3 linked regions of the Schizosaccharomyces pombe genome follow. Each later gene encodes a partner of the first gene's protein in a complex. Each region holds a gene or a part of one and is shown on either strand. Other genes may lie near its edges.

The links.
Region 2: rsm19 (region 1) and SPOM_SPBC16A3.14 share a complex: the UniProt entries of both Schizosaccharomyces pombe proteins name them as parts of the mitochondrial small ribosomal subunit.
Region 3: rsm19 (region 1) and mrp51 share a complex: the UniProt entries of both Schizosaccharomyces pombe proteins name them as parts of the mitochondrial small ribosomal subunit.

What each region holds. Positions count from the first base shown.
Region 1 is NC_003424.3:384,523-388,278, reverse strand, and holds rsm19 (mitochondrial 37S ribosomal protein uS19m), read left to right. Parts: upstream 1-2,108; 5' UTR 2,109-2,129; coding exon 2,130-2,172; exon of another isoform or gene 2,173-2,235; coding exon 2,236-2,341; exon of another isoform or gene 2,342-2,391; coding exon 2,392-2,524; 3' UTR 2,525-3,058; coding exon of another isoform or gene 3,059-3,154; 3' UTR 3,155-3,218; coding exon of another isoform or gene 3,219-3,293; 3' UTR 3,294-3,393; downstream 3,394-3,756. Other genes in the region: tif313 (translation initiation factor eIF3m), read right to left, coding at 493-1,493, 1,665-1,821, 1,885-1,935; pre-ribosomal protein Loc1, read right to left, coding at 3,059-3,154, 3,219-3,293, 3,689-3,756. UniProt on the Schizosaccharomyces pombe protein: Component of the mitochondrial ribosome (mitoribosome), a dedicated translation machinery responsible for the synthesis of mitochondrial genome-encoded proteins, including at least some of the essential transmembrane subunits of the mitochondrial respiratory chain.
Region 2 is NC_003423.3:4,270,475-4,274,084, forward strand, and holds SPOM_SPBC16A3.14 (mitochondrial ribosomal protein subunit S26), read right to left. Parts: upstream 1,559-3,610; 5' UTR 1,464-1,558; coding exon 657-1,463; 3' UTR 517-656; downstream 1-516. Other genes in the region: meu7 (alpha-amylase 4), read right to left, coding at 1,867-3,610. UniProt on the Schizosaccharomyces pombe protein: Component of the mitochondrial ribosome (mitoribosome), a dedicated translation machinery responsible for the synthesis of mitochondrial genome-encoded proteins, including at least some of the essential transmembrane subunits of the mitochondrial respiratory chain.
Region 3 is NC_003424.3:4,112,041-4,115,796, forward strand, and holds the start of mrp51 (mitochondrial 37S ribosomal protein bS1m), read right to left. Parts: upstream 1,619-3,756; 5' UTR 1,557-1,618; coding exon 645-1,556; 3' UTR 1-644. Other genes in the region: RecQ type DNA helicase Hrq1, read right to left, coding at 1,775-1,893, 2,069-3,756. UniProt on the Schizosaccharomyces pombe protein: Component of the mitochondrial ribosome (mitoribosome), a dedicated translation machinery responsible for the synthesis of mitochondrial genome-encoded proteins, including at least some of the essential transmembrane subunits of the mitochondrial respiratory chain.

The sequences.
Region 1 (3,756 bases):
GCCAGTAGCTATGGTACAAAAATTTTTTAAGTAACGTCAGGTAAGCAACACTTGATATATGTATGTTAAGTCAAAGTTATTTATGCGTTAGGAAAAACGAATGTTGACAGATTTGTTAGATATAAACAAAAGATTTAATAAAGCTAATCATTTTGCAAAATTAGGAGTCAATCTTCTTTCCTTTTTTAAAATCTCAATTTTACGTAACAGTTGTAGGTTACTTTTTTAGTTAGTGTACAAAAAATTCTTTAAGTTGACGACAGAAATAATTAGGGAAGTCTCTTGGTTAAAAAGAGTCTTGCACGGATACATCCATAATTACAAAGAAAGTGATTGCTGCTTTGAACTTCTTCGCTTTTGGTCTGCTATTTATTAGTGTACTGCAACCTAAAATTTATAAGAAAATCTTTAGTCTAAAGTCCACGTAATTGAAGGTAACTCTAATACAGGTGAAACTTAATGATCAGAATCCTATTTTATTTTTCTAATGAACTATTCAGAGGCTGTGACCGCGGATCCGTCTCTATTTCCCTTTTTGCTAGAGGCTATAGTAAAGCTAGATAAAGGTTGCTCCATTACTTGTAGCATGTAACGTAAACTTGAACCCCATTTAGCTAATTTTTCGTGTAAAGCAACCCATTCGTGCTTACCAAAGACACGATAGCTGCTACGGTGAATGGATAACGTTTTAGTCAACTGAGACATGCGGCCTTCAACAAGTCCAGCACGAATAACATCAATGATCCATAATTCTACTTCATTTTCATCAATCTTCAAACTCTTGGCTACATCACCATAGGATAATGTATTATTGGGAGCCTGGGTAGCTAATGAAGCAATAGTTAAAAGTTTCATCTTACGTGCAATTGCATCTTCATCAAATTTTTGGTGTTGGCAATGAGCATGGTTTTCGGCAACCCAACTTACATAATCGTCGGTCATCCCGCCGGACAAAATACCAAGTAACTGTAAAGTACTTTGTTCAAGCTGCTGAACGGGTGGAAGGGTGACAATATCATCAAAGAAAAAGTACTTAGGGCTGTTAACAGCGCGTTGAACTAATTCGCGAACCGCCTCGTCAGCAGTTGAGTTGTCCATTTTTACGGCTTCCAAAAGGAAAGCAAATGATTGCTCATCATCGTATGATTGAATAGCTTTAGAAACAAAAATATTAAATGCCCGATGGTCCGATACACTGACACCAGCTTCTTTAAGCCAGTCAGGGAAGTATTTCAAATTAGGTGCAAGAGTGCTAAACAAGGAATAACGGGTAGTGAGAGTAACAACACTAGTAAGAATGCTTAAACGTGCGTGTTGACGTTCTTTGACGGCCGTATTAAATAAAATGCTTAAGACACTGAGTATGGCAGGAGTGAGATTGTTGTTTTGATCGGCAATCTGCTCTAAGGCTTGGCAAAATTTAGAAACATGATCTTCGAAAGCAGCAGATTCTTGGATAAGATTAATAAAGACGGCTAAAATAGGCTCGAGTTCTGTTTCGTGTTAGTAATAGCATGGAAGAGAAAATAAGCGAAAACTTGGAAAGCTGCAAACCAAACACATCAGCTCATAGTATACTTTCAGAACTAACAATATAACAAATGCCCTTTAGCACTTATTAAAATAATTCTTTAATTTCCTAGCCTAAAACTATTTTGCATTACCTTTCTCAGGTGCTTGTGCCAACAATGGCAAGCGAGTCAGAAACAGATTAAGAACTTCTTTAACATTTTCAGAAGCCAAATATTCTCGGCAAAGAGCAAGTACATTTTTATCGGTATTAGCCTCAAGATTATCCAAATACATAGCCAATTCTTCCACCTTTTGAAATTTCGTTAGTTGAAAAAAGTTTTACCAAAAATCGCCGAGTCATTAGCGACATACCTGTTCCTCTACGGAAGAGTCAACTACCAAAATAAAATCAGAGCCTTCCATCTCTGTTATTAATACGAATCTAGCAGACGAGAAATGCAAATATTCGCTGTTAGTGGTAGTTGGAGAGTAGGACTTGGCACCTCCACCTCGTTCAATGGTTAAAACGAAGTGGAAGTAACAACACCAGGTTGCTACCTCACATTTATTAACGATTGCTGCATTAGCAATTAACTAGCTTTCTAACATTTCACCTCATGTTTTGGACTAGTGTAGCCAGAGCTCGGTCAGTCTGGAAAGGTAAATGAATATAAATATACTTGTTTTGAAAATAATTTAGAACCTGTTATTCTGACATTATAGGACCCAACGTGGTCGATTTCGGTGTCAACGTTCAGCAATGTATTAAAGGAAACGTTCCTATAAAAACAGCTGTGCGATCTGCAACTATTTTACCTAGAATGGTTGGGTATGATACTCGTATTTAGCAAGTGTGGACGTTAACTAACTAAATTCTAGTGCTCAATTTATGGTTCATAATGGTAAATCATATGCCAATGTAAAAATTACAGAAGATATGATCGGGCATAAATTAGGTGAATTTGCACCTACCAGAAAAGCATTTCATTACAGACAAACTAAAAATCGGTAATTATTTTGGATTCTTGGCGAAAACTGGGCTATATGGCCTATTCAAAACACTTTTCACATGGATTCATAACTACCAAGAATTTCAAGTCTGCCTCAAAATTTCAATTCGTGACTTTAAATGGAGCTACCATATTAGTATTTTGTAGGACATTTCCTGTAAGAAAGCGAATATATAATTCGCCGAATCTTTTCATTACTTTCAGGCTTTTAATGACAGCACTTCTTCCAATGGATGTACTTGCACGTATAAATGTATGTATGAAAAAGTGATATGATGTTGCATAATTTTCTGTCAATGTTTTACAAAAGAATTTTGCATTCCCCTACTTGGATTTTTTATTTTTAAATTTGAAACGCAATGGCTTATGTGTTTAATGTTATTGGTTGTACTTATTTAGTAGTCTGTATAATGAATAATTAACAGCATCGAAAAACCGAATGAACCCGATATCCCAAAAGAAAATGAAAAATTAATAATTGAAAGGCAATACGAAAAAAAGGATCTTTGGAAGTGTCGTTATAACAATTGAATAACTCATTTCTTTTCGTTTTTCCGACCCGTCTTTTTATCAGCTTTGTTATTGCTGATTTTTCTGTCAGATTGTTTAGAAAAGACGGCTTCGCGCTCGTGCTAACGTAAATAGTTAGTAAATTGACTGAAACTTGAAATCAAAATAATTCATGGAAATACTTACAGCCACTTGAAGTTTAGATTTTATTTTATCGTCAAGCTCATAAGTAACTTGATTGAGAATATTTTGAAGGTCATCCTGTAACAGCAATTAGTTAATGAACAATGAATGTGGAAAATGAATAAATAGATGAAGGAATGCCCATCAATTAAAATCAAAAAGTAAAAAAACAAACAAACCAAATCAGATCAAAAATTAGATTACATGACTCAAAAAGCGCAGCAAGTTCACTTAAAACCTTATTTGTCGGATCTGGTGGTAAAGAGGAACGAATGCGGAAGAATAGGGTTCAGGGCCTTGAAAGTTTATAAACAAGATTTGTAGGATTTATATAGAGAGATATTTATCATCGTAACATCTACCACACTGACTTGAGATTTTTGTTGTTTAATGTTTTTGAATATTACTTGTTGAGTAAATGGAAGCATTTTCAACATCTATAATGAAAGAACATGGATGTGAGAATGAATTACCTTAGTTTCAGCAAATATTTTCCCCTTCTTCTTCCCCTTTTTCTGAATCTTAGTTTGGGGATTTTTAG
Region 2 (3,610 bases), on another chromosome or scaffold:
TATTTCATTCGTTTTATAACTTGAAGATATCTTGCATCTACCCTTGTCTCTTTAATCTTTGTTTATTCAGCCCTGTGGTCAAATAACTAAAGGGTGTCTGTCTTTCTTTGAGAGTTAAAATGTTCACCCAGCGGCAAGGAGATAAATTGCTCGTCCACTTATCTCACTGATTTTTTAACTTGAACATTCTTTTTCTTTACTAGTCAATTCTCATTTAGATATCAATCTAATCCACTCTATCTTTGCAAATAAACCACCAGTAAAATTTCAATTTCTCCTTTCTGTGGTATCTTTTTTTTTTAATTTTGCATGAAAAAGAGACACTATAAACTGTAAATTACATTGTGTATTGGCGCTTTTCTAGCTTTACAAAAAAAATGTTTTTAATCTCAACCTCTAAGCAATAAATCGGTTAATTGGTTAATAAATTACTTAACTTATATGACTCGATTGCTCGGAATTAGCCTAAAATCATTTAGAATACGAGCATGAGCCAAAACAGTCTACTGTAGAAGTTTCAAGGACGAGTAGAGAAAACACAATTTTTATTAAAATTAGAATGAAATTTATAAGGTGAAAGTAGAAAAAGGCGTTTTTTTAAAATCATAACAAGATTGTGATGAGATATAATTATCTAAATTGATTGCACCTTTCTTTCATACCAAAGAATTAGTCAATCTTTCCTCAATGACAGACCAATCTATGCAATCAAACCATGTGTCGATGTATCTTGAGCGATTTAAAAGACCGTAATCTTTATAATATGCATGATTCCATAAACAAAGGTTTAAAATGGGAACATGCGCATATTTTCGAGGTCTGGCACTATAATCTGGCACACTAGAAATAAGATGGGGATCATTTGATTGCCATCTAGTCCAAAGATACGGAGAACCTGCTTGAAAAGTTCTCAGTAAGTTTAATCTATTATAATCATCAATTACAATCCAAAGCCAACATGCTCCAAAACTATTTGAGGCAAGCTCATGAATTTTAGAAAGTAAATTTTCTTTAGAACCAAAGTTTTCATTGACTGCTTTATTGATAGCGGCATTAGCTTCATATTTTGAGTTTTTTTTGGCATCTGCAGCTCTTTTTCCGATCAAGCTTTGAAAAAAGAAATGATTGTTGTAAGCTTGACTTGCAAACTGGAATGTGGCTGCATGCTCAGGCAAAGCGGCTGTTTGAAAGATAATGTTAAACACAGATGAATCCTCAAGTTCTGTTCCCTTCACTCGATCATTTAATTCTTTTACTACTTGACGTTGATGCTGGTCCCAGGCAATGTCAAGAGCTTCAGGACTGAAAAGTGGTAGCAAATTTCTTTGTGAAAGATTAGGAACTGTGTGGTAATTGTAGCAATAGTTTACTCGATGCACATTGTCTGTAACTGAACTACATCGTTTCAGAAGGTGAGTTATCGGTGAAAGCGCAAGCCCTTTTCGTAGACCTGTGTTGAGCATAAGCAAATTATCTGAATATTAGGTATAACTTGCTGAAATACCTATATAAACCAACAACGAAGTATTTAAGGGAACTGGACGTGTTTGGGTATCGCAGCTCGCCTTGTGTCAAATACAAGTTAGCCACACCACCGCAATTATGAATACGTTTGGACGGTTTGCGTCGGATATCATTATGGGAGTTTAAATTTTTTTGGCTAAAGCTTTACTTGAGTACTTTGTAATTTAAAGCCAAAAATTAAAATGGATTTACCCGTCTATTATTTATATTGAGGTGACTTATCGTTCATGAACTTCAGTACAGAGCCCTATGGGTCTGTAAACTAAGTCATCATACTTTATATGAAAAAGGTTTATGTAAAATAAAAAATCTGTATATTATTAGATTTCAAGGAACGTATACCTACAAAATCATTAACAAAGATAATAAAAGAGCGGCGAGGACATTGGTAAATCCTCGATTTTGCTCTGGTGCCTTTGATGTTTGGGCTTCTTCAACGTTAATGGAGAGAGAACCTTCACTGTTATAATCTTCAGTAAGCTGAATTGGAGATGGGCACAATCCCATCTCATAAGCCGATTCCTCTGGGTACAAGATCATGGGTTCACCGTTGCGTACCATAAATACCTGTCGATTATCTTGTACTGGAACGGACTTGCAAGATAATACGTCCATCCACTTGTGCTCTTCTGCCGAAACAGTATAATGGAAATGAATGTAATATGAACCTAAGTTGTTGAGTACGGTTATTACTTTGCCACGTCGTAAAAGCAATATTCTTTTATCAACGATGCTAATATCCGACTGCATATTTAAGAAAGCTTCTCCGTCTTTGCTTTCAATCATAGCTTTGCGGAAACGATTGATTGTAGACGTGAACTTATAGTAAGGATTTCTTTTTGGGAAACCTTTCTCCCAAATTGCAGGTCGATTATAAGGAACCTCTTCACCGCGCATGGCAAGTTCTTGGCCGTTGTACATCATAGGAATACCATCTCCCATAAGAACAAAAGCAATTGCATTCTTTAAGGTGGCTGGATCACTAGAAATTGAAGCCATTCTAGGAAGGTCTTTGTTCTCAACGAAGTTTCCTAACAATAGGGGATTGACACACAAACCGCGCATGTCAGTCATTTTGTCGGCAAGATCAACAATTCCCTCTGGATTATTCATCAAAAATGCTTTTACAGCAGATTCTCTAACAGGGAAGTTACTCAACCCTTCCAAGTCGTTTTGCCAATCACAAACTTTTAAAGAGTCGGAAGATTTCAAGTCACCCATGCAAAACACTCCAGCAGCTTTGCAAAAATCTGGCCAGTACTTTCTATATTTGTCACCCATAGCATCGAAACGAATACCATCAATTTGGAAAGTTTCTACAAATGTTTGAATATAGTCCTCGAGAGCCCCTTTAGCACTAGGACGCTCATGAACTGAATGGTCTTCATGGCAAGAGCAGTGTTCCTCGTGCTTCCAAGGCTTGTGATCGGGCTTGGTTCCATTGTGGGGAACTGGACGAGGGAACTTACCGTGATGGCAGTGTTCCTCGTGCTTCCAGGGTTTATGGTCAGGCTTGGTTACATTGTGAGGAACTGGACGAAGGAACTTACCATGGTGGCAGTGTTCCTCGTGCTTCCAAGGTTTGTGGTCAGGCTTGGTTCCATTATGAGGAACTGGGCGAGAGAACTTATCATGATGGCATGAGCAGTGTTCCTCGTGCTTCCATGGCTTGTGATCGGGCTTGGTTCCATTGTGGGGAACTGGACGAGGGAACCTACCGTGATGGCAGTGTTCCTCGTGCTTCCAGGGTTTATGGTCAGGCTTGGTTCCATTGTGAGGAATTGGACGGGGAAACTTACCGTGATGGCAGTGTTCCTCGTGCTTCCAGGGTTTATGATCAGGCTTGGTTCCATTATGAGGAACTGGACGAGGGAACTTATCATGATGGCATGAGCAGTGTTCCTCGTGCTTCCAGGGTTTATGGTCAGGCTTGGTTCCATTATGAGGAACTGGACGAGGGAACTTATCATGATGGCATGAGCAGTGTTCCTCGTGCTTCCAAGGCTTGTGGTCAGGCTTGGTTCCATTATGAGGAACTGGGCGAGGGAACTTACCGTGATGGCAGTGTTCCTCGTGCTTCCAGGGT
Region 3 (3,756 bases), 3.7 Mb from region 1:
TTAACAATGTATGGTAAAAGGATAAGATTTTGTAAGTTATTGAACTGTACTTAAAGACAATTTCGGAAAAAAAAAATCCTTTACAAAATTCTAACTCTTTTTTCAAACGCTTGCGCTTATATAATCAACAAAAAACATTTATTTCGAGGTGAAACCGAAAATAACGGTTAACTGAAATATATACCTAGTCAAGATTAACGAGAGTGACTTTCACTAACACCCAGAGAACAAGGATGTAACATTGCAAACCAAACAAACTTCTTAGAAAACACATTCAGTTCAAGTGTTATGACTGTTCACCAAAATGAACAACCGTCAAGTGCAAAACGCAGTTTAGGGTAAACTAGTAAATAGGGAAACAAATGGAAAGTGTAAGAGTCATTTGAAGCAATAGACCCATTATTGGTACAAGAATTTGATGCCACACAAAGAGAAGTAAGAATAAATAGATTGAAAGATTTTTTAAAGGAGAATCGTATGTCGTTAAGATTATTGCTAGTGGTAGATTGTACTGTGGGATAACAACAGAATATAGGAGACTTAAACGAACCTTCTTAATAATAAAAATGATAGGTTGTTAAATGCAACTTAAAATCGAGTAAACCATAAGGAGATAGCATAAATGCACATGATCATAAAGTCCTCTACGAATTAGAGAGGTTATCTTTCTCTGAGGAATTAGCTTCATTATTTGAGGTTTGAGAGGGAGCCATAAAAAATTTCATAATACCCCGTTGATAGGATACGGGAGCATCGAGAGATGAATCTCTTTTGGCTACCAATTGAATATCTCTGTTAAAAAACGATTCAACCTCCGAGTCTTCCGAGGGATAGGCAAGATGTGTTTCTAACTCGGGACCGGAAAAGGGAACTAGTCGGAGTCGACCATTTTTATAGACTGTATAAGAAATGCGCTGTTCCTGGGAAAAGAGGGGAGATGACCGATTTCTATTAAAGACAACTGTTCGAGGTAGCCTCAGAATCAAGCCCCCTAAACCGTAGTATGCAGTAGAGGCATCTGAACTAATTATATGGGCCGTAAGTCGACGTCGAATATTGGAACAATTTGATTCACAATTAGGTGTTACTCGAGAATTAATTAAAGGAACATTACTGTATTGAATACCGCCAGAAACTCCGTAACGGCGAAAGTTATCATTTTCGTCGGATTGTTTAGAAGGAGAAAATACCTTATTTATGTCACGCGTATCTTTCAACCCCGTTTCTTTCAATAATTCTTGCAACAAAGCAACTTCAGAAGGATCTCGTACAAATCCAGCATCAAACCAATTGCGAACTAGACGAACAAATTTAGCGCTTGATTGAAAATCTGCTTGCTTGTATAAGGAATCTTGCTGCCGCACACATATGTATCTTGTCTTTATTTTTGGAAGAGTCCTTTTCAGTCCCCAATCACCACGAGCTCTACTATTTTTTTTTGAAGTTATGGATTGCAATCGAGGAAACCGAAGGTGTGATGTTGAATAATTGGATTCTGGAAGACATTTTGGAGAAGCCATTGCCCTCGAGCCACGGAGAATTTGTGCAAAACTCATATTTTTACAAAAATTCAAGATTTATATTGGGACTTGGCTTCTATGAGGAGAACGGTGGCTGTACGGTAGTAAGCACTGAGCGCTGTCAGTATCTAACATTGACTCCGGTAAGTTAGGGTAGGGTTTAAATGTAAAATCAAAAAGCACAACGCAATATTAGTAGTACTAACTAATAATTTAGTCTAATATAAACAAAATAAAAAAAATAAATTCAATTATTAACAAGAAGGTATTAAAGTTCGCAAAGCGTGATATGAATCAATCTCTGGTCCATCAGCATATATATCTAAATTTACATGTTGACACAGTAGCATTTTCAATAAGATTAAAGCGCCAACTGAAAGAAATATGTTAGTAGAAGTAATGTGAATAATCTATTTAAGTTTGCAAGCAATCCCTTTTCATTTGATCATAAAAAAAATGAGAGTGTTATCTTACAAACTACTAAGCGACCAATCTATACGGGATTGCTTCACCGTCCAACAAAAAATGCAAAGTATATCTATACTTACCCTTGTCAAGTACTTCTCCAGAGCAAACTCCGCCTTCAAATTTTGAACTCGTAATACATCCGGGACAACCTTCACGAACTTTGCAATCGCAACTCTCAATTCGCTCAATGGCCATTGTAATTAATTCATCAGTATGTTCATATGCCTTGTTGCATAAACCAGCACCAGATGAATCACCACAATTATCATAGAAAATGAGTCGGGAAGGACGTCTTCGCTCGCTTTTAGCCTCTTTATACTCCTTTTCACCCGCTTTACATTCTGTTCGAATATCGTTACCGCTGTTACTAATAAAAATTGGCATCAACGAAAGTAAAGCATGTTGGGCAGCATGTATACTAGCGGCTCCATTTATTTTTTTTAATGACAAAACCTCAATGATATGCCAAGGTACATCTATCCAGAAACCTCGACTATCAATTTCAACAGGATGATCGGTAATATCTACCACGTCCAGAATATCTTTCTGCTTGTTAACTTTGAAATACCCAAATACATGTAATGTTGCTTTAACAGCCCCAAAATAAATGTTTGTACTTCCATGCATAGTCTTCTTCATTAAGCTGCGAACAGGATCAACATCTGTGAAATCTCTTTGCAATGTTGACCATTCAACATCAACTTGATGAGCAGTAATAATTCTCTTGTTAATATTTAGGAGCCTAATGATAAACGTTTTTCCTTGATAAACATAAACTGCACCTTCGTAAGCAGTTAATGCAACACGAAAAGGTTCGAGGAGTTCTAGAATAACATTCTTATCATTTGTGACATCGACGAGAGTAAACATGTCTTCACTAACGCTTCGTATCCGTACCTGCGAGGCAGGAAAAGGAAGATATTTTGGATGAGGCCGATAACTCTCTTCAACCATTTCTAAATTTGCTTCGCAAATGTCTTGAATTTGATTTCCAAAAAACTTTTCGTCGCTCCTTATGTTAATGGGAAGCTCATATGCAGCACACTGAAGATGACTCGCTAGTAATACCTCATTTGTCAAGTCTAAAGTGAGTTCAGCATTTGGTTGAGTGTGAATCAAAATAGGATGCTTTAAATAAAACTGATCAACGGGAAATGTCTCAACTATATATACTGCTAAGGAAGACTTATTCCTTCTACCAGCACGACCAAATTGCTGGCGCAAGTTAGACAAAGAATATGGAAATCCTATGGTTATAACGGCATCCAGTGATCCTATATCAATACCTAGCTCTAAAGCATTCGTCGCAATAATCCCATATAATTTCCCGTTAAACATTTCACTCTCTATCTTCCTGCGTTCCTGAACCGTATACCCAGCCCTATACGATTGAATCTTAGATAAAAGATCTCCTTTTTGTTTGGTTTTTAATTCCTGCCTCACTAGTCTCATTAACGACTCACAGGTTTTTCGAACACGACAGAAAACAATTGTACGCACCCGCTTTTCGGCAAATTTAATAAGCAGTTTCGAGGCTTCAGAGATTGCGCTTTTCTTTCCATCATCAGGATGCTTGGGGTCGACATAAGGTGGATTCCACATTACAAATTTTTTTGAACCAGAAGGAGAAGAAGTATAGTTAATTAGTTTTATATTATCTACTCCAAAAATTTTTTTCATATGTTGTAAAGGATCCTCAATAGTAGCCGAGCATGATACAAATCGATATTGACTATTTCCAAAGTACTCAGCAATACGGCGCATCCTT